Linked DNA regions of Caenorhabditis elegans. Changing the gene in region 1 together with any one later gene gives a genetic interaction. Each region holds a gene or a part of one and is shown in the gene's direction. Other genes may lie near its edges.

Region 1 (4,610 bases):
GTACACCCTCCTTAGTCTTCGCAGAAGCTTCAATGAATAGTGTGCGGTGGCGTTTTGCGAATTTTAGGCCTTCCTCGCGGGTTACCACTCGATTTGGCTGAAAATTATTTTTTAGGCCAAAAATCGAACAAAATCGGCTTTTTCGCACCATATCAATCTTGTTCGCGACCATCATCTTGATAATATTGTCATTTGTGCAATAAGTATCGACTTCTTGCATCCAATGATTCAATTTCTCGAAGGAGCTGCGGCTAGTGACGTCATACACGCAAATTACGCCCTGTGCTCCACGATAATAGCTCGGCGTGAGGGTACGGAACCTCTCCTGGCCGGCGGTGTCCCAAATTGCGAGTTTTACACGATTTCCGTCGATTGCCATTGAAGTTACGCGGAAATCCACGCCTAAAAAACAATAAATTTAGGGTTTTTTTGGCCTAAAAATCAAAAAATCCAAAAATCCCTGGAATTTCCACGAACCTATCGTTGCAGCCTGCTCAGGATCGAAGACATCGTCCACGAATCGTAGCATTAAGCTGAAAATTTTTGAATTTAAATTGATTTTTTTAAATTTTTTTTGGGCGAGAAAACCCCTCACCTCGACTTCCCTACGCCACTTTCGCCGATAATCAGGATTTTGAGAGTTGTGAGGGGGCTTGAACTGTCGTCGGACATCTGGAATTCGTAAAAACGAAGGGAAAATGCAGGATAATTTTTTTTTTGTTGGGAAATTTACGTTTTTAAGGATAAAAGATAAAAAACTCGATTTTTCAGGGTATTTTCCCCATTTTAAGTTAATTTTTTAACACTTTTAAATAGATTTTTCACCTTAAAACCCAAAAATTTGCCGAAAAATCAATAAATTTCCCTTCGAAAATGTCAGATGTCGTTGCACGAGACGCTCTTTCGGAAAAGAGAGCGATGGAGCGCACTTGCACTTGGCACGATGCCAAGTGCCTGTCGTGGTGAGACCCGATGGCGCGAAAATGGATTTGTTTGAAATTTGTTTTTTTGTTTTTTTAATTTTTAAACGTTTTTCGTGTTTTTTATTTTTATTTTTTTTGTTTTTTATAATTTTTCCAAATTTTTATCAGTTTTCAGCAATCAAAAAAAATGCAAAAATCAATCGACGACATGATCAACGAAGTTCTCGCGGTAAAAGTCGAAAAACTGCCGAAAACCCAAGATTTTTCGGATCTCCAAGAAGTTTGCGCCTCCAAACTGCAGATAATTAACAAGGAAATGGACGAGGCCGATCGGAAGCTGGAGGAGACGCTCGAGAAGCGAAAATTGGTGGAAAAACGTGAGAAATTTAGTGAATTTTCACAATAATTTTCCCATTTCCTAGAACTCGAAGACCTCCAGGAGCAGTATAAAGTCAAGGAATTCGCGTTTTCTCTTCAAAAAGAGTTTCAGGATGAGCTGAAGAAGGTCGCCGAGGAAATTTTCTAACAATTTTCATTATTTCTGTACATATAAAGTTCTGTATTCCTTAACCCCGTTGTTTTTCCCAGTTTTCTGTACTTTTCATGCATTTTATACTTATTTTTCAGCGTTTTTCAATGATTTTTCAGGCTCAAAATCCTCATTTTCAGCCCAAAAATGACGGATTTAGACACTTCATCCGCTCAAATACGGGCTTCGCAGAGCGATTTATCGATTGCCAACTCATCGCCACGTCTGCTGGAGTCCAACGCAACTACTTCTACAGCGGTAAAATCGGATTTTTAGCGGCGAAAAAAATCGAAAAAACGCATTTTTTGCTGGAAAATAAGCAGAAAATCGTGTTTTTCGCCCTGGAAACCGCCTAAAAACACAATTTTCAGTGCATCAACGACGTTCAACAGCCGGTTCGACGCGATTTGAGCTCGGAACTCCTCTGTCCACTGTGTGATCAGCTTTTCGACAGGGTTAGAACATGGAAATACCGAGGATTTCAAGAAAAATTGCGTGAAAAATGGCGGATTTTCCATTAAAAATCGCTTAATTTTACCCATTTTTGACCCAAAAATGTGCAATTTTCGTCTTTTTCCAGCTATAAATGTGAAAAATCGGGGAAAAATGCGAAATTTTCTCATAAAAACTTGAAATTCCGAAAATTGTCTTGTTTTTGCCCATTTTTCCAGATTTTCAGCCAAAAATCACGATTTTTTGGGGATTTTTAGCTAGAAAACCGCATTTTTTCCGATTTTTAGCATAATAATCACAGATTTTCTCGGATTTTTACAGTTTTTTGCCGATTTTTACGATTTTTAGACTAAAAACTTTGGATTTTTAAGATTTTCAGCACAAAAACCCCAGTTTTTCTCGGATTTTTACAGTTTTTAGCTTAAAAACCACAATTTTTCAGATTTTTTTCGATTTTCAGCTCAGAAACCCCAGTTTTTCTCGGATTTTTACAGATTTTAGCTTAAAATTTTGGATTTTTCCGATTTTTAGCCCTAAAAACCCCAATTTTGCCGGATTTTTTCGGTTTTTAGCCAAAAAACTCCAGTTTTTCCCATATTTTAACGATTTTTAGCTCGAAACCCACAATTTTTCCGGACTTTTACAATTTTTAGCCCAAAAAACCCCAATTTTTTCGGATTTTTCTGATTTTAGCTCAAAAATAACCGATTTTTTTCGGATTTTTCTGATTTTAGCTCAAAAATAACCGATTTTTTTCGATTTTCAGCTCAAAAACCTCCCATTTTTCCAGATTTTTCCAATTTTTTGCTCAAAAAACTTCAATATTTTAAGATTTTTTTCAATTTTCAGCCGAAAAATCCAAATTTTTCCGGATTTTTACAATTTTAACCCAAAAATCACACCGATTTCTGCCGATTTTTACACAATTTTTAGCTCAAAAATCACCGATTTTTCCCAGGATTTTCCCGATTTTTAACCCAAAAATCTCGGTTTCTCAGGATTTTTACAATTTTTAGCCCAAAAACTACACAGTTTTCTCCCGTTTTTTTACGTTTTTCATCTCAAAAATCACCCATTTTCCCAGATTTTTAGCTCAAGAAACCCCAGTTTTTCAGCGGAGTTTTCCGATTTTTAGCCCAAAAACCATCAATTTTCCCGGATTTTTCCAATTTTTATGTCAAAAATCCCAGTTTTCCGCCGATTTTTTCGATTTTCAGCCGAAAAACCCCATTTCTACCCTAATTTTTACAATTTTCAGCCAATTTTTCCAAATTTTCAGCCCGTAATGGTAACATGTGGGCACTCGTACTGTGAGCCGTGCATCGAACGACATACACGTGATACGAGAGCCTGTGTAATCTGTAAACTCGACGTTGGACCATTTGCAGCGATGATTCCCAGCATTACACTTGATAATGTACGACGGATTTTGATGCGAAATTCGGATTTTTCGACAGTTTTTACCCCGGAAAACCGTGGATTTTTACCTTAAAATCGCATTTGTCAGCCAAAAAACTCTAATTTTAGTCCGAAAAAACGATTTTTCACGGCAAAAACTACAAAAATACGCTTAAAAACCCGATTTTTTCCTCAAAATTTTGAATTTTGTGACTAAAAATTGCATTTTCAGCCATAAAAAGCATAGTTTTGGCTTAAAATTCAATTTTCGAAAGTTTTTAGCCTTAAAGGCCGAGATTTTGACTTAAAAATCACATTTTCCCGTGGAAAACTTGATATTTTTCAGCCAAAAAAACCACAAAAATACATTTTTCAACTTATAAATTATGCATTTTCGGTCAAAAATCCGATTTTTCCTTGAAAATCTTGCCGAAAATTCAGAAAAATGTTGACTTTTACATCTAAAATTTCTTGATTTTCGTTGGTTTTTACACTGAAAAACCGGAATTTTGACCTAAAAATAAACTTTTTCATAGGAAAACCTAAAAAATTATGAATTTTTGGGTTAAAATTCTCCATTTTCAGGGTAAAAATCTGTTGGAAGCCCTGAAAATTTTGATTTTGAAGCTATTTTTCGCATTTTTCGCAGAAAAACTCAATTTTAATCTCAAAATCCCGATTTTCCAGCTAAAAATCCCAAATTTTTGCATTTTTTCGCCGAAAAACTTAATTTTAGTCAAAAAAAATTGCGATTTTCTTGCAAAAATATCAATTTTTTGCAATTTTTACCTTGAAAACCCAGTTTTAATCTCAAAATCCCGATTTTTCAGTTAAAAATCCAAAATTTTTGCAATTTTTAGCTCAAAAACCCAATTTTCTAGCTAAAATCTCAAATTTTTGCATTTTTTCGCAGAAAAATACCAAAACATTCAACGAATTTTCGTTTCAGATGGTCCGAAAATTGAAAAACCAGGAGAATATCGAGAGCAGCTACGACGATTTGTTCATTTGTGAGGAAAAGGTTGAGTTTTTGCAGGAAAATGCGAATTTTCAGGGTTTTTGAGTGAAAAAATCATGAAAATTAGGTGTTTTTGACCCCAAAAGTCGGGTTTTTTCACCATTTTCAGTTGAAAAATCGTGGTTTTCCACTTTTTTTAAAGCTTAAAAACCCCCGATTTTCCCAATTTTTACCCCCTAAAAACCCGGATTTTTCACTATTTTCAGCTCCAAAAAGCGCCAACACCACCAATTTCGGAGGAAATTCCGGCTCAAAAAATGACGAGAAGCCTGTCACAACGGTCTAAACG
Region 2 (6,715 bases), on another chromosome or scaffold:
TATCTCGCCGGAAATTCGTTGATGGAGACAACTTCTGGGCCGCTAGGCATCCAATTTTGATCATTTTTGGATGCCTATCGGCCCAAAAGTTGTCTTAATCAACGAATTTCCGCGAGATAAATTACTAAAATAAGGATTAAAGGGTGATAATTTCAGAAAAACAGAAATTCAGCAGCTGTGACAAAGAAAAGTGTGCGAAATTTTAGATTTTAGCAAAGTTTGGCTCTTTTTTTTTCGAAAATTTGACCGGCCATAAAAATGTTTGGAAATTTTTTGTGAAGTCTCATTATGAAATTCGGTGGTTTTGGACCAGTTTTAGTCTATTTAAGCAAAATACCCACAAACTGTACTCCCCCTTTAATGTACACGCCTTGAAACATATTGGTGCATTTTCAGACAATTTTCGAGTCAAGCCAAAATTGTTGCAGAAATTTTCCAAATGCTCGAGCAAAAAGCTTCAAGAAATCTCAAAAATGGAACAATCTGCGTAGAAACTTTACTATTTGCATGATCTTTATGTTTCGTCGGATACACGAAAATTATGAAAATATGGTTTTTGACAAAAAACAACAAAGCCAAAAATGCAGAAAAAAACGACATAATGCCGTCATAATGTCGGCATTATGCCGTTATGCCGGTCATTTTATTTTTCGGCATAACGGCATTTTCGGCATATGCCGTGAATTTTCAAATCGGCATAACGGCATATGCCGTGCTCCAAAAACCGGCATTATGCCGGCATCGGCATATGCCGAATGCCGAATGCCGCACAGGTATGGCGAGAATGATGTGAATATAGGAGACCCGAAGAACTCGGGGGATGTCCAATTGGGGGGATTACCAACTCGGGGGATTGGCCCCGCCCACAGAACCGTGGCTTGCAATACGCCCATTTCTGCAACTGCCGCACGGTTTTAAAATTATTTTTTCTTGTTATTTCTCGTTCTATTGAGAAAAATACAGTTTTAAAACCGTGCGGCAGTTGCAGAAATGGGCGTATTGCATGCCACGGTTCTGTGGGCGGGGCCAATCCCCCGAGTTGGTAATCCCCCCAATTGGACATCCCCCGAGTTCTTCGGGTCTCCTTATTTACATAATCAAATTTGCAGCAATTTTTTGGGATTTTGCAAGCGATTTTCTTTGCATTTCCCGTGATTTCGAACCTTCTTGGCATATTTTTTAAAAGGAATGTTCATAGTTTGCGGAAAACGGAAATTCAAATTTCTCGCGGTCTGAGGCGTCCATAGTGCAGTTTCTTCGCCTTTTTTCTATCAAAATTCAAAAGTAGGTGGGGCCTGCAGTTTTTCGCTTTTTCATTGCTCAGCTTGAAATTTTGCAGCCTCTGATTCGTTGGAAACGCCCAATTTTTTGAAACTGACCAATTGCGAAGCGAAAAACTCCCTCGTTTTCCCCTCTCACTGTAGACGCCTCGGACCGCGGGAAATTCCCGTTTTCCGCAGCCTATGGACGCACAATTATAAATTTTTTTCTTAAGAATCTCCATTAATCACCGTTTTGATAGTTTTCCGCTGTTTTCCTTTAAAAATGCATATATTTCTCAAAAACTAAACAATTCGCGCTTCCGTCATTTTGGAGTATCGTTGTAAGGCGCGACTTTCGAATGTGTCCTCGATCAGCTTGAATAACGTCTCATTTTCTGTTTTTCTTTTATTAATACTTGTCAAAAAGTCGATTCATATTCTAATTTCATTTTCAGAGTTGCTTACTTCTCGCGCTTGGTGCCAAATTATGCTGCCGAGCTCTGGTGAGTTTAAATAATCGAAAATCAGGTCGAAAAATGCATCGAATTCCAGGTGACTCCAGCAAAGAGAACTGTGCTCCACAGGACGGTATCGTTGAGAAAGAAGGACCAAATAAACCTTTTAAAAAGAAGAACGTTAAACAACGGAATGCTACTCCACAAGGCGCGGGTTCCGAAACCTCATCCAATGCAGAAGACAAGCAAGAAGAAGCACCGATTCTAACGAATGCTCCCAAAGACATTATTTCGATGCAAATACAGGAAACGAAGGCATTTCTTAGTGAATATGAGGAGTTCGTTGACACAGATTATCCAAAAAGTATTTTCATTAATTAATTCCAGGCAGTCCATTAAATTTTCAATTTTCCAGCTACCTTCACCCACGTGCCACGAAAGTTTCTGAGTGTTTCGCCATTCACCCCGATTGAAGCCGACGCGGAAGGAGAGTTTCTTCCAGATGCTGACTCAAAATGCGTGATTTGCCACGAAGAGAAGGATAAAACCGGAAAATCTGATTTGATCACATGTCATGGATACATCAATGGAGAAATGGACGACGGCAAGCGTCTCTTGGGAAATATACCAATGTTTCCTTGTCGTAGTAAATTTCACGCGAGTTGTATGATCGTAAGCTATTCGATTATTTTTCTTCATCAAATATCGTGTAAACTTTTAGAATTACAACAGTGGCGGCTTTCACTTTCAATATGCAGCCCGACTCGAATGCCAAGCAAGACTTCTGTGCCCTCTTCATTGCTGCAATAGTTGCAATTTGGACCATCACAAGCAATCGGCTTATGTTGGAGATATTGCAGAATGTGCTCTCTGTCTCCGCGCTTTCCATTTGACGTCGTGTTATCCATCAGGTGGCCGAGATTTGAATGTTTCGATAACAATTGGTGGGAAAGTGGAGAAGTTCGAAATGATAATTTGTCCAGCACACTATCTACCTGGTGCTGATGTTCAATTCTACAATAAACATAAAAAAAGAAAAAACGCCGTCACTGTTGTTCCGAAAGCGGATGTTACAATGAAATCCCATATCAAAGCGTGTTGCGTAATTGGATGTGAGAAATCTTCGAATTCAAAAACAATCATGTGCAAGACTTGTTGCCGATCGTTTCATTCTGGATGTCGAGAAGTGGAAACGCTGAATGGAAAACCGATACCAGACGATCAATGCGAATCGTGTGTTTGTGGAGATCCGATTCCGCAAAATACATTGATTCTCGCGAAGTGGACGGACAATTCGTGCGTTTATAATATCAGAATTATCAAATTCATGTATTTTCTATTCAGATTCTGGCTAGCATTAACACTCGATTGGTACAAGTACCCTACTGGAAATCGTGGTAATATCAACTTTGAACGTCTTGGATATACTGTTGTCCAGTGGCTGATACCCCAAGAAAATGATAAAGAGAAACAACCTCTCATGTCAATTGTGCCGGTCTCGGATATCGCCCGTCTTACCAAGAATTACTTTTCGTTGGCAAAGAATTCGACGCTTAGAAACTTGTGGGAAGAGAAATATGAGGAACAAGCAGATACTGCGTTGAAGAGATGCCCGTACGTGTGTAAAACTGTATTTGGAAGACTGAGAGTGAGTATTCTACTGATTCTTCAGGAAATATCTAATTCGGACTATGGTTTTGTATTTTTCAACGGTTTGGAAAAAGGCTTTTATTCAGCTAAAATTGCGGAACCGACGAAAGTTAATATCTCAACCAACGGAACATTACTTTTAAAAAATTAAAAAAACAAAAAAGTTCTGAAATTTGTCAGATCTGCAATATTTGAGATTTTAGCTGAAAAAATGTCATTTTTTTCCAAAATTTTGAACCGTCTAACTTCTTTTTGGAGGAAAATGAGAATGTCTCATTACGAAATTTGGTAGTTTTAGACCATTTTGGGACAAAAGTGCAAACAGTGCTGCAGAAAAATTCAGCTAAAAATTGCCGAAAAACTTAACAATTATTTTCTTACTTTTAACCGATTCAGATTTATTTATAGCAATTTCTTCATAATTCCAGACATCTGTGTACTACAAATGCGAACCAAAACTGGAAGAGTATCACAACAACGAAGTTTGCAATTGTGAAGGAGCTGACCGCTGTACAAAGCTGTCGTGTCAATATCTCGCCGATGATTATGAATGTCCCCCGAGTTGTTCGAAAAAGGGCGTTTGTCATAATCGTCAAGTTTCCATGGGAATAGTTAGCGAGAAAATCAAACTGGCAGCCACTTTGTGTAAAGGATACGGTGTCTTTGCGAAAGGTCAAATCGAAAAAGACGAATACATATGCGAGTACGTTGGAGAAATAATCGATAAAGCTGAAAAGAAGAGGCGCTTGGATTCGGTTTCAATTTCGCGAGATTTCCAGGTAAGGAAAAAGTTTTTTTGCGATAAAAACACGAATTTTTACTTTTTCTTTTAACCGAATTTTAGAACAAAACGTTCTGAAATTTTCTCAAAAAAAAGTTACGGCGATTCAAAGTTTTGGGAAAATGCCTATTTCCAGCTAAAATTTTATATTTTGCCAATTGTCATTTTCAGAAAAAAATACGAAATTTGGTAGATTTGGGCTATTTAGGTCTAAGAAGCAAAATATCAGAGTTAAGTTATCAACGTATAACTTTCCAAATACTCTTTTTTTTCAAGGCGAACCATTATATGATGGAATTGCACAAAGGATTAACCGTGGACGCTGCCAGATACGGTAACATCTCCAGATACATCAATCATTCTTGCGATCCCAACGCTGCATCTTTCGTTACAAAAGTGTTCGTTAAGAAAACCAAAGAAGGCAGTTTATATGATACTCGCAGTTATATTCGGGCAATTCGCACTATTGACGACGGCGACGAGATCACGTTCAGTTACAATATGAACAATGAGGAGAACTTACCAGACTGTGAATGTGGAGCTGAAAACTGTATGGGTACAATGGGAAAAGCGAAACGCGAGAAACCGGAAGTGGCTGATAGTTCCGAGAAAGCTGCTAAAAAGAACAAATCGTCCAAGAAGAAATCTGTAAAAAATCAGAATAGAAAGAGCCAGGAGGTACCAACTTTTTTTCTAAGTTTCAACATTTTGATTTTATTTCTTATTTTCAGGCCGGAAAGAACGGAACCGCATCTAAGAAATCAGAAATTTCTCCTTCGAAACCATCCACAAGCTCCGCGTCGAGCACTTCCTTCGTCCAACAAGCATCATGGCCAATTTCCCAGAATAAGAAAAATTTAAAGGTATTTTTTGGAGATTAAATCGATCAATTGCTGCCAGCAATGATGTCGGTTTTTCGATTTTTCACTAAAATCGAAAATGTTCGTTTTCACGAAAAATATCTTTCAAAAATTTTGTAATTGTTCTTCTTTTTAGAGAGAAATTTAAAAAAATGTTTTCTTATTTTATTCATCAACATAAACATAATTTGATTTTAAAAAAAAAGAACTTTATGGTTAATTTTTAAAACATTTTTTTCGAGTTTTTTCGGAAATAGAAAATTTTAATTATTCGATTTTTGATGGCACCCTTGGTTGCTAGAGTTAACTTGGTCTAAATCGAATTTTCAATTCAGGTACATAGCCATTAAACATAATTTGTTTTTCAGAAGAATTCCAATCAACCTGTAGCCGACACCGGATCAACATTGAGTACATCTACAGAGTTGAATTTCCACGAAAAACCGCAAGAACTCTTGAGCCCTGTTTCATCGCGATCGCGCGCAGCTTCATCTTCAACACCACGGGCACAAAAATCAAAGGTACGATAATCATATTAGTATTAATATCGATTATATTCGATTATATTCACAGAGCCGTCGAGATGATGTGGAAAGTGAAGCGCCACCTGTGAAACGAGCTACGCCATCATTGCAAACAATTCAAGAAACCGGAAAAGCGATAGAGTTTCCTGCAACCAAGTCGGCTATCACAAAAGCACGAGCGTTGTCGACACAATCAGTTCCATCACCTCATACTGTGGAGGTCAAAGTTAGAGCAATATCTACTCGTGGACGAGTTCAAAAAGAGACAAAACGGTTTGAACCGATTTGAAAAGTGAAATAATATGCTGTCTCGCCCAATTGAACTCTTTCCAATAGTCTTCCAAGTACTAAATTATGATTTTACTTCAATTAGTTTCAATCAACAGTGCCCTCATTCTTTTTAATCGTACTATGAGTTTTTCCTGGACTGTCGACACAATTTTTGGAAACGCTGAAATTCATTTGACCAACGTTCAAAGAATAACGAAGACTTTCCTATTCATCTTTTTTGAAAATTATTTTCACACTAAACTAGGGGTTTTATTATTGCTTTAACCATTGCTTTCATTCACTTGTCATTTTTTTTTCCCTATGTGTTCTTTCGTTCTTGTTACTGCGTCCCATCATATCGATAAATACGACTTTTTTTTCTCATCTGTAATAAATACCTTTGCAAATTACAAAACAGAGTTAAGCGCTGCTTTATGACGATAAAGAGAAACTGGAGAAGATTAAGAAGAACACAATGGAACGACTTGTTTTGAAAAAAGACATTGGAGTCGATGAATCACTGCTAAAGATTTTGATTCGGAAGTAAAAAAATGCACATTATTGAGAAACCACGTGTCATTTAATTTCCCTATGCACAATAACAAAGGATCTTCGGATAGACTTCTTGAAAGAAGACTGAAACCATTTGAGCGGAAGCGATAATTCATTCATTAATTATTTTATGTTCGCTTGTTATACGACAAAATTCTAAAAATTTCAGTCTTGCACCATTTGCCAATTCAATAATGCACGCGTTCTTTGAAATATGGCACTGTATATGGGCTTTACTTGGATGCTCATTCAATTTAATGCTCATTTACATGGCTATCTATAAATCACCGAAGACAATTCGTTCGTATGCAACTTTGATTATCAATTTTGCTGTTACCGACTTTTTCGAGTGTGCTTTGGA
Region 3 (8,035 bases), on another chromosome or scaffold:
GTTTTGCTAGAATTTCGTTCAGTAATCATTTTCTAGTGTTAATTTATTCTGTGAATCCATTTGGCAAGTTTTTAAAATATGTCTTCAAAAGAGTACGGTAGTTTTTTATTTAATTCGCAGTGTTTTTTTATTTTTATTTTTAATAGTAGATGAGAAGAAACATCAAAAATTGTGCTTCCAAGAGTCGACAGTCAAAATTCGTTAATCTAATTTGAATTTCGCGCGAAAATGTTTCAAATGATTCTCGGCCGTGTACTCCTCTCGGACAATTAATAAATTGTTTAATTTTGGATGTTTGTAGAGGTTTTTCGTGTTTTCTCATGATTTTACGGGAATCCTTTTGATTTTTTTGGTTAAAAACAAATTATTGGTGGTCTATGAATGCATTTTTCACTGTAAAATAGTGGAAACCGCCGTTATCCTCTTGAGAAAGTTCTAAAGTTCCATAAATTGTTCAGTTTCGCGGTTTTTCATTGAATAATTTGTAATTATTGTTTTTCGAACGTACAATTATCAAAAGAAAATCACGAAAAATCGCCAAATATTCCAAAATTCGATCGAATGGAGGTTTATTCTTCATTCCCTTCAAAATAGATTTATAATAATCTCTTGTTCGAACACTCCCTCTTCCCGCAGCGAAAGTGTAATAAAATGTCCAATAATCTAGCTAGATCTAGTTCAATAACTCATCAATTATATTGCCCTTTGATGTAGTTTTATAATGTCATAAAGTGCACACTTCTAAGAGTGGGCAGCTAAAAAATGCACTTGTTGCTCTTTTTTTCGCACCCTTCATACTTTTTTGGATCGATTTCTTTCATTTGATATTCATAATGACCTAATGTTTCCGCTGTACACTGTATCTGCACTCACGTGATGGGTCTCGCCACGGTAATAATATTACAAAATGATTTTGCCTATGCGTCTTTGAGTTTACTGTAGAAAATTAGTAATACATTTTTCAGCTCTACTTCTTTCTTCGCAGATTATTTTTCTGTGAGAACAAGAATACACAATTTATCCATTTCCATTCAATGAAAATGTATGACAGCGTGATTTCGATAAATCAACAATTGAATCCTTTTTCTTTAAACTTATAACTTCAATTGACATATTTTTAATTTCATTGTAAAACTTGGAATATAATTTCGTTGGTTTCAGTCTCTCATCCGTTCCAAATTATAATTCCAAACTCTCGAACGCGGAGACATGCGCACGCTCCTCTTCCTTTCCCTCGAGTAGGCGTCGCTCCTTCTCTTTTATTGATTTGTCGTGCTCTCCGCTCTTGTTTGAACGCGACCAATATGACTCATTTTTTTAATATTTAAAGTTTTTAAGCACATGCATAGTGCATTGCTCGCTTTCTACCTCTACGCGTTGTTCATGGCTCTAAAAACAAAGAGCGTACATTTTTTGAAATTCTATTTAAATAAATAAAATTATTATTGAGAATTCATCCGAAATATCTGTGAAATATCAAGCCAAACATATTTTTTATAATCCTAAAGTTAATAAAATTAAAATAAAGTATAGTCATTTTGTAAATTTGCTCAAAATGACAGAAAATGGACCGTAATAACCAAATATAGATGTTAAACATGCATAGAACTTTTCTAAATTTTTTTTTTAATTTTGCAAAAAGGTTCTTACGGTACATTTTTAATCAACCATTAAGTTTTACAAATCTTCATAGGTATAATTTTTTAATGAACAAATTGTTTGACTGGCAATAACCACGCATTCCTTCATTCGATTCCTTATCGAACCAGCCGTCTGTCTGAATATGATGTGAATTTCTTTTTTATTCTGCGTCTCCTCAATTGACATACTCTCTACTCAGTTTCCCAGAACGAAGTCTCTCTCATCTGACATTATATCTTTTTTGCGCTGTTCGTTTCACATTTTTCTTTCTCTCTCTCTCTCTGATTGGCGATTTCGAGATAAATCGATAATCTCGATCTTTGCTAAACTATTTTAAAACACAAAAAATCATTGCAGGGTATGACTCCGGCGACGGCAGAGGTGAAAGTTGGAGGGAGAAAACGGAAGAATGGTTAGTTGGAGAATAGGACATTTACTGGAATTTACAAAAATCAAATTCTTAAAATCAATTTTTAATTAATTTTGAAACATAAATCCCAATCGCGCCGAGACCCGCGTATTCTAACACAACGCTCACCTTTAAAAATAGTTAATTTTTTATTCGAGAAACTCGGCCTGAAACTTTTTATTTAACTTCTTGTTTAAATTGTAATTTAAACTATTATAATTAAAGTTTTTCCTGTTTTCTTAATTTTTCCACCAGTGAAAATTATTTTCGGCAATTCTACAAAATTACCTATTGTGCCATTTTGTTCCATCATATTTTATTACAAAACAGTGTCAAAAAATAGAAAATTACTTGAATTATCTAAAAATAACATTTATTTAAGCTGAAAAAATTTGAAAAATTGTTCAAAAATGGCTTGAAATTCGATGTTTCGTTTAATCAGCAATTGGCAACTCTCAGGCCATTTTTGAACACTTTCCCAAAATTTTATGCTAAAATAAATGAAATAAATGTTATTTTCAGATCAATAAAGTAATTGTCTATAGTTTGAAATTAATTTTTTTTCTGTCAAATTATAGTAATTTTTAGCATTTTTGAATTAATACTTTAAGCTTATTTTTGCAGATGAGCCGGTTTTTATCAAGACAAAACAATCGAGGTCAGCTCGTCGAGAAGAAGAAAAAGAAAATCTTTTGAACAAATCTCTTCCGTCAACTCCAACTTCATCAGAGGCCGGAAGTTCTCGGGAATCTTCAAATCCAGTCACAAGCTCCAGTAGACGAAAGAATCCACCTACCAAATTAGAAAATATTCAAAAAACGTTGCCGACTTGCAGTGACGGACGTTAGTTTTAAAAATCATTAATTAAAATCTCAATTTTTCTATTAATTCACATTTTTTCAGTTGAAATTCGCAATTATGTGAAAAAATATGGATTGCCGGAAGATAACAAGTTTCTCGTTCGTAATGTCTTCGACAAACAATTATTATTTGGAAAGAAATATGTGTGTAGAAGGCGTGTGATTAAAAGCATCGATGAATTTTTCCCGCGACTAAAGACCGATGCGGTTTGTTTGAATTTTTGATGGATTCATTTGCAAAATAAATTTTTCTTTCAGCACAGAGAAAATGGTTTATATAATTTCTGTACTCTACAATTCATGAAAATATCCTCCTGGGGAAGTTCGATGGATGAGAAGATTTGTTAGTTTATTTTTGAAAATTTTGAAAAATTTGAAACGAAATCTCGATAAAAACACTTAATTCGAAAAAGACCAACAGAAAATCACTTTGAACTAAAAATATCTATTCAATATTGATTGAAACCATATTTCACAAGAAATAAAAGTCTTTTTGAAATTTGGTTTTAAAAAAAATTATTTTTTTAATTAAAAAAGTCAAAAAAAATTGAAAAGTTCTGATTTGCATTATAAAACAAAAAATGAATTAAACTCAATAAATATATAGCCAGAAAACGCGAAAATGTCGGAATTCGCTTTTTTTTTCAGTTTTTGCAATTTCCTAAAATCACACAAAATTTATAAAAATTATTTTTTTCCTATAGTTTAAAGCAAATTTAATGATTTTGAAATGTTTGAGGTTTTTTTTCAAAAAGTAAGAACAATATTTCCAAAAAAATGAAATTATTTTCTAATTGTAAATTAAGATTCAAAAATACACACACACATAGTTTTTTTCGGTTTTAAAATTATTTTCTCATTAATTCATTAAAAAAAAGAACATTTTCAGATGTTACTTCTGCTGCAATTGTTCAAAGCTACGTGATAATTGTCGACGATAATGATTCAGTCACCTGCATTGAAAATGGAATCTCAGTTATTCCAATGGCGAATAGAACGTTACCATCTATCTCCTATAACAGTTCAAATGTAAAAAATATCACTTTGACGGGCCCTGAACTGAAAAAGGCAAAAAACGTATATCTCGCAGTGATTGTGAAACGAAAAACACCAAAACTTGGAGAAAATCGAGTTGGGACAAGTGAGTGAAATCATTTCTTTTTTTTAAATAAAAAGTTTCTTTTGTAGGAGGAAAATCAACTCGAGCATCATTCGAAACGGCTGCTTCCTCAGAAAACTTTCAGCAACTTGTTCGTTTTGGGTGCACTTTGATGTATGATAAGGATGCTGAAATTAACTGCCTAAATGACGGAGTTCAACGTATTATCTTACTGTAAGTCGCTTTAAAATTATAAATGCAAAAATTTAAAAACTTAAAAATTCAAAAAAAATTAAAATACTTTAAAAGTTTTTTTTTCCAAAATTTATCCGAAGGTGAATCTATAAAATTAAACTGGCCTGCTAATTTTTTAAAAAGGGGGTTTTCTGAAGATTTTGAGCGAAAACTGTTGTCAAAATAAATAAAAAACTGAAAAACATTTTTTTTCGAGAAACACGCGCTCAAATTGACGGGTATACGGTAGAAAATATTTTTTCAAAAAAAATTGTATAATGAAAAATATTGCTCTTGATTTTTCCAGTGATCGAGAAGAAAAGCCAGCGTATTTGAAAATTTTCGGGAAGGCCGATGAACCGGAACTCGAGAATGCTTGGATGAATAATGTTAAGCATTTGGAGTTTATAAGCGATACAAATTATAACAAAGAGGTAACGATGAAGAGTTAATAAACTTTTATAAATAATTGATTTTTTTCTACAGGATTCTCATCTCGCTCGTCTAATCTTCTCTTCAAATACTCATAATTATTTCGATAGACCGGACATTTCAAAATTCTCTCCATGGCAGCCGCGATCCAGAAGGACGACACTAAAATCTGGGTGAGAAATTCGATTTTTTCTCTTTTTTTAATTTTGTTTTTATCTGGTTTTTGCACGACCGTAATCCCGCACGCTTATTGTGTTTTCCATCATTTTCAGAATCTCCGTCGAGCCAGGAACGAGTTGCGATGAGGATTGTGGATCGCAATATGAAGAGTTCGTTTTTGATCCCTACCACCTGATTTTTTGTTTGAATATCTAATTTTTAAATCACTAAGTTTGCTGGATTTTTTCCCTTACAGAATTTCTAATTTCGGGTGCATTTCTTCTTTTTTCTTAGTTGGCTGTAATTGATACCTTCCAAATAGCTTGTCGTGATTTTTGAAAACCGTGAAGCTGCATTTCAGAATTTTTGAGTTAAAACTGGGGGGTTTTGTCCAAAATTACAGAAGGCAATCTGCATACACCGGATAGAACTTCAAAAAAAATCATCTAAATTTTATAGTTAATCACTCACTACATTGGATATTCGCGGAACTTCATGTTTCTATCCAACCATAGATCATCTAACTGTTCTTCAAAATTGTTTAGAAAATATAATTACAGTACAATCACTCTCAAGCAGTTACTCCTTGGAACGAAAAAGCTATGCGGAAGACGTAAGAGACATTTGACCCGACTCACTTCAAGATGGCCGTGTTTTTCAGTCGATCCGACGAAGGTAATTCTTAAAAAACTATAATTTCAAAGCTTAAGTGCAATTATTTCAGATCAATTCATATTTCAATGAAACTGGTGTCACTTTGCTGGAAAATTCGTGTTCCTACCGTCCTGGAACTCAACGAAGCATTCCAATAAAACCTACCCGAGTGATCAGAGTTAGAGAAGAAACTCCAGTTTCCGTTCCAATTGAGGTTATTACGATTGAAGATGATTCAGATGATTCACCATGTTTTTCTGCGAGAAATCGAGCACCAGGTGGAACACGGAAATATGGATTAGATTTTATACAATCTTCGGGTCATATGCCATATATTCGTTATGTTTATATGAACAGGTAATTTGATTTAATGCAATCCAGTAAAAAAATATATGATTTGCAGAGCAAATGACTTAGTGCCCCAGCTGAATGGCGAAGAAAATGGAAAAATCGAAGGTCTTATGGAAGCATATCCGATGAATAATGCTCACATGTATTCAGATATTGAGTTCCTGAGAAAAGAAAAAGTAAGAATTGTTTTTAAAAAAAAGACATAAAAGTTGTAATAATTTTCGCTTTTTTCACTAAAATCGAAAATGGAATTTTTTGTTTCGATTTACTGATTTTTGCAAAAATAAAACAAAACTTTAAGATTTTTCTTTTTTCCGATATTTCGAAAAAATTGCATAATTTGTTTTCTTTTTAGAAGCAATTTGTATGTATTTCTGAAAAAGCGAACAAAATTGTTTCCTGAAGGCGAAATCTATTTTTCCCTCAAAAACCCAAAAAAAAAAAAAAAAGTGAGAAAGGAAAAATTGAGAACCTTTCATTATATTTTTTGAATTTTTTGAATTGACTCCAAAAACAGGAAAAAAAAAACAAAAAATCCCAGCCTTGATTACGATATTAAAAATTTTCTATTGTGACATGTTGCTCCAACAATTTGTATTTAAAATTAATGTCAAAATATAGAAAAACACTCGAATTATCTGGAAATAACATTTATTCTGGCTGAAAATTTTGAAAAAGTACTCAAAAAATGTCCTGGAAGTTGCTGATTGCCAATTATCGAATTATTGAATTTCAGGTAATTTTGAACACTTTCTCGAATGTTTTAGTTGAAAAAAAGTTATTTTCAGATAATTCTAGTGATTCCTGCACTGAACACTAAAAAAAACTTGTCGCCGCAAACAAAAAAAATTAAAGCAAAATTACAAATTTCAGTTGAATCTTCCGAAGAATGCTCAAAAATATGGCGAAATGACAATTCTTGACTATCCACTAACGAAGACGGAAACGGACGAATATAATAAAAAGATGTCTGTGATGAATGTCAAAGATTTTGCGGTTAAACCCAGAAAACCTATTCCAACAGTCGGAAATACCACTTTAAGTTTGGATTTGGAAGGATGTCCTATATCGACATTTTCAGAAATATTCTTCCCAAGTGGAAAAACTGAACTATTCAATATTCTATGCAGACAGTAAGTGTTATAATATTAAGTCATATATTAAAACCCAATTTTTGAAGTTTCTACTCTGAAGCTGGACAACGCCCTGGATGCTTCTCAGCACAATGGAAATCTAGAGTTTTGGTGAGTTTATTGAACATTCAGGACTAGATTGGCAAACGTACGGAATTGCTTAGTACAGTATTTTTGAATCAAAACCTTTAAACTTCTTTTCAACGAAAATGAAAATTATTTTCAGAGTCTTTGATTCTACAAAAAATGAATTAGCGTACTAAAATAAGCATCTCAACACTTTTGCCAAGATTTGCCTTAACTTAGAACGCATTTTTGAATTTTTCATAAATAATTTTCAGACTGGCTTCATCAACAAATACCATCAGTACATTTTCGACATGAAATTGAATTCTTTATTCGAGAAACAAATAAATCTCATCGCTATGGTCAGCCCTGACTGGAAATTAGAAGATTTTGAATTGCCCATGGTTCGATATAAGCAATTGAAAAAAGAATGGAAAAATCGCCAACGAGATATACCATCTTCTAATTAGATTATCCCCTTTTTTCCTTGTATCTTTTTCTTTTTGGAAATCCTGTGTTTAATCTCTTTTCCATTTATCAATCAACTATACCAAATCGTGGTGGGTGGCAATTCTACTAAATGACATTAAAAATTAGTCTGAAAACATAGAAAATAATTTGATTCTTCTGCAAATAACATTTGTTTCAGTTGAAACACTTGAAAAAATGATTAAAAATTACCTGGAAGTTGGAAATTGTCGAATTTTGCTATTCGGCAATTGGAAACTTTCAGACTATTTTTGTGCAATTTTCAAATCTTTCAGCTGAAATAAATGTTATTTTCATATTTTTAAATAAATTAATTTTCTATTTTGAGACTAATTTTTAATGAACAATATTGGCCAATTTATGGAATTGCCAAAAGTAATTTCCACCCACCGCTGATCCCAAAAATACTACAATTTTTAGCACCTTTTGACCCAAAGAACGTCGTACTTCAATGATCTTCCAGATTACACGAGTCATCACTAAGTTTTTCTTCATTTCTTTTTCTTTC
Region 4 (4,697 bases), on another chromosome or scaffold:
AGAAGACGGCGGTCGAATTGTATTCTCATCGTCTGGAGGTGGAGATAATGATGCAGGTTTCCGATGAGGAGGCGGTGGTGGAGCTCGTCTTGGGGCTGCAAAATTGTTTTAAAAATGAATCTTCCAATCTGTTAACCTCATAGGTATATTTAAACTATCTAATTGCTGTAATTGTATCTGCTTCACTCATTTTGAGAGATGATAAAATAATTGTTTTTCTTTCAATAAATGAGTCATACCACTAGGCACACACAGTGGCAGACGGAAAATTGGTCACTTCCGGGGGGTGGAACAATAATACCAACAGAAGTTAAATAGTGAATATATTTTTGGCAAGTGTTCACACAAGAATGACTATTTTAATCAAATGTTGGCGATAATCCAAGTAATTAATATAAGGACACAACCCAATTTTCTAAAATTTATTACTAGTACACTTCTTGGCGACAAAGGAGTAAAATCTGTCAAGTGGCACCTTTAGGCAAACAATATTGCGAAAAGCCTTTATACTTCTTTTTGACTACTTTCGCAATCGGTCACGCGTCTGTACAGATTTGATAGGAACTTTGAAGAAAATTGGGCATTTTTCGTTAACAAAAAGCAATAGGAAGAAGAACAGTCAAAAAACAATTTTAACACGGAAATCAGTTGTTCTACGATATTGTAAAAGTTAATAGAAAAAAAAATGATAGTAACAAAATATTTATGAATTTTCGTCTAGATTCTAACAACGAATATATAAATTGAAATGAGAACTTAATTTCCTTTAAAAATTAATTCGATTCACTGTTGGTGGAGTTTAAGGCAGATTTTTTTTTCGAAAAATTGACTGTTTTTTTTAACTCACAGAATCATTGTCAACCCGATTTTCGGTTCTCTCTTTTTCAATACTATGATCATATGATCTATTTAGTTATTATCAATAAATACAGACATAAATAGTTTTTAAAAAAATTATTTTTTAGTTTTTTTTTTCAAGAAATTTCGTAACTTTTATTTTCTCCACAGATAACAAAGCAAACGAAGTTTTTTGCTACGCCTCAATCAATTGTCGACAGTAAATACAAGACGTCTTCTCTGTTTCAGACTCACAAGGTGGCGGTGGTGGTTGCTTCCGGAATCTGTTGTCTCCGTCGTCCAGTTTATTTTGAAACTCTGCCATCATTTCTTTGACGGTCCTAGACGCCGGTGGAGTATCATCAGAATTTTTGCGATGGTTCATGTCATATTTCATACAGGCGATCTGAAAATAACTATAGCTCGTTCGAGATAACATTTTGGCTAAAAAATTGAAGAAAAAACGATAACACTAAAATATTATGAAATTAAGAATTAGTAATGAACGGGAACAGTCACAGCATGAGAAAAAGGCAACCGCTAGAAGAACAGGTTGAAGCAACAAAAAATCACACAAGACGCAGAGAATCAGGCATTGGAGACGCAGGGATATGGATGAGTCAGCAGCCGACGAAGACAAATTCGAAATAGCAAAAATGAAAGAAGTCTACGGAATTCACAAAGTGGATCTTTTGATATAAGGACAATTTTACTAAATAATAAATATGAATGAATACCCCCAAGTTGATCGCTCTGAAATCTGAAAAAGACCACAAAAACATTTTTTTTAACTGACAATAGCTCACGTAGCAATATAGGATCATACAAAAAAAATATACAAAATTATTAGTTTCGCTCCTTGCGAAAAAAGCCGAGTACAAAATCTACTTAATCCCGTTCGAATCCACTCCGAAATTGGAAGTGGTACTTCACGACAATACAAAATTTAAGCTGGCAACTGTCTTTTCTATCATATTCCCAATCGAAATCACAAATACCTCCCGGAACTTTCGAACAGAATCCAAAATGAGAACAAAAAATTGTAATAAAAAAATAACACTTTAAAGGTGCATGAGGTTATGCGCTCGTTGGGTCTCGCCGCGCTTTTCACCACTAATGCAATTTGAACGAGAAATGCGCGCGAGCGGCCATATTTTAGTTTTTCTGTTGTTTTTATTGTCATTTTTTTCCTTTTTCACTGCAAATTTGATAGTTAATCGACTTTTTTATGTTTTTACTGTGAAGTTTTTATTTTGTTATATATTGTTTCTTGCCTTTTTCCCAAAAACCTGAATGGAGCACACGAAAAAGTTCAAATCATTAAATCTTCACGGGTTTGATCGAAGTACAGAGGATTACGGAAAACGACCTTTTGTACTAACTGCCAAGCTACTTGAAGATCAGAAGAAAGCTATTTACGGATGTGCATTCAATCAATACGCAGGAATAGATGAGGAACAAGCGGTTGCAACTGTCGGAGGAAGCTTTGTAAGCGTTATTTAGCAGGAAACTGACAATGAGGTATAAATATTTGTTTTTCAGCTTCACATGTATTCTGTTCCCATCGACATAAATAACATTGAGCTGCAGTGGTCTTGTAATTTTCCTACCGATAAATCATCAAAGGTCGAACGAGAGGAGTCGCTCTTCACTGTTACCTGGTGTTACGACACATATGAAGCTGAAAACGACCGAAATCCCTTTAAAGTTGTAACGGGTGGAACTTTGGGTCACATTTACGTTATCGACTACGTCTCGAGGAAGCTGTCGAATGTAAATAATCAAAAATTACTGAAATAATTTGGAGTTTTAGCGTCTTCGGAGTGTTGGATGGGAAATCAATGACATTCGTACGTGTCCTGCCAACTCAAATCTGATTGTCTGTGCTTCATCAGATCAATCTATCCGGATTCATCATATTCGAAACGAAGCATGTCTGATTGTTATTGGGGGTCTCGAGTGTCATGCTGGAACAATTCTTTCTGTGGTTGGTTTATTAAATTTACTTACGTTTCGAATTTCTCATTTTAGGATTGGTCAACCGACGGAGACTTCATTTTATCGTGTGGATTCGATCATCAACTCATGGAGTGGGATTTATCTGTGAAACAAGTAAAGGAACATTTGGAACGAGCGTGCAAAGCTCTTCACCAAGATAAAATAAATGTGCTAACACAATCACAAGATATTCCGTATGTTTCGAAAGGAACAATGAGGTAAATCAATTATTCAGCTAACATTTTCTAGTTCCTTCTAGTATTTGATCAGTCCTTAACGCGAAAATTGTTGCTGTTGTTGTATATAAAAATATTTTTGAAACTTGAGTTTTGGATAAAAGACTGGTAAATAAAGAGACCAGGGCTATCAAATCATAATGTAATTCATTTTTGTATTTTTAGAAAGTCTGCAGTTTCTCGCAACATTCCCGACAAAGAAGAAGATCAATTGCTCGAACTTCACAGAGAGCTCATACCCCGACCGTACGTTGATTTTCGGCATCCATTACTTTTTTAAAGTTGTTTCAACGAATCTGGTTCTATCGTTTTCTTCTTTTTCAGGAGCTGCCTTCTTCCAATTTATACTCCATCCTCCGTATCAACTGATATGCATTCTGATTATGTGGATTGCATTCGATTTCTTATCGGTACTAACTACGCACTATCAAAAGGATGTGGCAATGAAAAGGCAATTCATTTTTGGAGATTTGGGCCACCTAAGGGAGAAGTTGAAAATCGCATTCATGGAAATGTTCTCCGTCCAAAGTCGTGTACAACGAAATTTCGTACAATGAATGTTCCGAGTGGTTCTGCATGGTTTATCAAATTCGCCGTTGATCCAAGAAGACGATGGCTGGTGTGCGGTGGAGCTGGTGGTTCTGTGATGTTTTTCGATTTGAGAAATAATGAAGAAACCAATCCGTAAGTAAAATATCAAGAAAAATAATTTCTGAGATGTTCGATATCTCTTAAAAATTATAGAAATATTTTTGCTGTGATTACCAGTATAAATTCCTGTTTTTTTTTTTACAGGACTCACACTTGTTCCGTTGGCTCACGTACAGTTCGGCAAGCTTCTTTCTCTACATGTGGCCGATTCCTAGTACTAGTAACTGACGAAGGATTTGTTTGTCGATTTGATCGTGTATCTGCGTCTGTCGACGCTAAGGACCTGGCAAAATTTTGAATATCATTCCTTCTCACCTTCAATTTTTTATATCTCGTTGTGATTTCATCTTCGATCATCTTCAGTGGATTTTACATTACAATTTTGCAGTTCCTAATGTCATCCCCAACCTCCTCTAAGGATTATTCTTCACCTAAACATAGCTTTATGTGTGAGTTTCGAAGAGATTATTTTCGTTTTCTGATTATCTAATTTTTCTAATTCAGTGACAGTCGACAGCAACTTACAAAGTGACAAAAAGAAGACGTTTTTGAATGTTCAGTGAGTTTTGAAAATTTTATTAGCTTTCATGTTATTACCTTTTTTATTTCAGATCATCTTCCTCTGCTGGGTCAACCAAGCACTGTCAAATTCCAATGTCAAAGGACGAGTATTTTGAAACACGCGGGAAACTCGACTCTGTTGATGTTATCGATCAATTCAGACAGCGTCAGCAATGAGCATTTATCGATTTGTCTGTACATGCAGTGTTCCTCACCATTCTCACTCTTGTCTCATTCCCATTCTTCTCTTTTTTTTCAATATTTTTTATTCTTTCCTTATTTTTGTCCGTTTCTATTTCCCGATGCTTGTTAATAAAATGAATTATTTCAGAGTCGCACCTTCTCACGCCAACCAACAAAATGACAACTGGAAACAATGATTTCTACTATTCAAACAAATACGAAGATGATGAG

What was found.
Region 2: of par-2 (region 1) and mes-4, a change in one rescues a mutant of the other (synthetic rescue), as found in Caenorhabditis elegans (one study listed by BioGRID).
Region 3: of par-2 (region 1) and mes-3, a change in one rescues a mutant of the other (synthetic rescue), as found in Caenorhabditis elegans (one study listed by BioGRID).
Region 4: of par-2 (region 1) and mes-6, a change in one rescues a mutant of the other (synthetic rescue), as found in Caenorhabditis elegans (one study listed by BioGRID).

What each region holds. Positions count from the first base shown.
Region 1 is NC_003281.10:1,079,810-1,084,419, forward strand, and holds the start of par-2 (RING-type domain-containing protein), read left to right. Parts: upstream 1-1,585; 5' UTR 1,586-1,599; coding exon 1,600-1,710; intron 1,711-1,823; coding exon 1,824-1,907; intron 1,908-3,184; coding exon 3,185-3,322; intron 3,323-4,252; coding exon 4,253-4,324; intron 4,325-4,527; coding exon 4,528-4,610. Other genes in the region: Ras-related protein Rab-18, read right to left, coding at 1-97, 149-402, 478-533, 596-672; kbp-4 (KNL (kinetochore null) Binding Protein), read left to right, coding at 1,111-1,300, 1,346-1,449.
Region 2 is NC_003283.11:13,432,548-13,439,262, reverse strand, and holds mes-4 (Histone-lysine N-methyltransferase mes-4), read left to right. Parts: upstream 1-1,717; 5' UTR 1,718-1,749; coding exon 1,750-1,765; intron 1,766-1,814; coding exon 1,815-2,081; intron 2,082-2,132; coding exon 2,133-2,389; intron 2,390-2,438; coding exon 2,439-3,013; intron 3,014-3,061; coding exon 3,062-3,365; intron 3,366-3,795; coding exon 3,796-4,146; intron 4,147-4,424; coding exon 4,425-4,826; intron 4,827-4,879; coding exon 4,880-5,011; intron 5,012-5,376; coding exon 5,377-5,529; intron 5,530-5,581; coding exon 5,582-5,821; 3' UTR 5,822-6,213; downstream 6,214-6,715. Other genes in the region: srd-17 (Serpentine Receptor, class D (Delta)), read left to right, coding at 6,549-6,715. UniProt on the Caenorhabditis elegans protein: Histone methyltransferase. Dimethylates 'Lys-36' of histone H3, a specific tag for epigenetic transcriptional activation. Plays a central role in early development and is responsible for all H3 'Lys-36' dimethylation until about the 40-cell stage.
Region 3 is NC_003279.8:4,994,843-5,002,877, forward strand, and holds the start of mes-3 (Polycomb protein mes-3), read left to right. Parts: upstream 1-1,996; 5' UTR 1,997-2,001; coding exon 2,002-2,053; intron 2,054-2,674; coding exon 2,675-2,893; intron 2,894-2,953; coding exon 2,954-3,117; intron 3,118-3,168; coding exon 3,169-3,253; intron 3,254-3,799; coding exon 3,800-4,051; intron 4,052-4,098; coding exon 4,099-4,243; intron 4,244-4,550; coding exon 4,551-4,677; intron 4,678-4,729; coding exon 4,730-4,848; intron 4,849-4,947; coding exon 4,948-5,004; intron 5,005-5,394; coding exon 5,395-5,509; intron 5,510-5,558; coding exon 5,559-5,845; intron 5,846-5,891; coding exon 5,892-6,015; intron 6,016-6,712; coding exon 6,713-6,972; intron 6,973-7,019; coding exon 7,020-7,083; intron 7,084-7,313; coding exon 7,314-7,508; 3' UTR 7,509-8,035. UniProt on the Caenorhabditis elegans protein: Component of a Polycomb group (PcG) complex. PcG proteins act by forming multiprotein complexes, which are required to maintain the transcriptionally repressive state of homeotic genes throughout development.
Region 4 is NC_003282.8:8,509,307-8,514,003, forward strand, and holds mes-6 (Polycomb protein mes-6), read left to right. Parts: upstream 1-1,977; 5' UTR 1,978-2,130; coding exon 2,131-2,325; intron 2,326-2,379; coding exon 2,380-2,610; intron 2,611-2,650; coding exon 2,651-2,824; intron 2,825-2,868; coding exon 2,869-3,053; intron 3,054-3,236; coding exon 3,237-3,317; intron 3,318-3,395; coding exon 3,396-3,755; intron 3,756-3,866; coding exon 3,867-4,020; 3' UTR 4,021-4,116; downstream 4,117-4,697. Other genes in the region: FYVE, RhoGEF and PH domain-containing protein tag-77, read right to left, coding at 1-95, 1,093-1,234; C09G4.4 (uncharacterized protein), read left to right, coding at 4,117-4,171, 4,227-4,281, 4,334-4,460; cks-1 (Cyclin-dependent kinases regulatory subunit), read left to right, coding at 4,644-4,697. UniProt on the Caenorhabditis elegans protein: Polycomb group (PcG) protein. PcG proteins act by forming multiprotein complexes, which are required to maintain the transcriptionally repressive state of homeotic genes throughout development.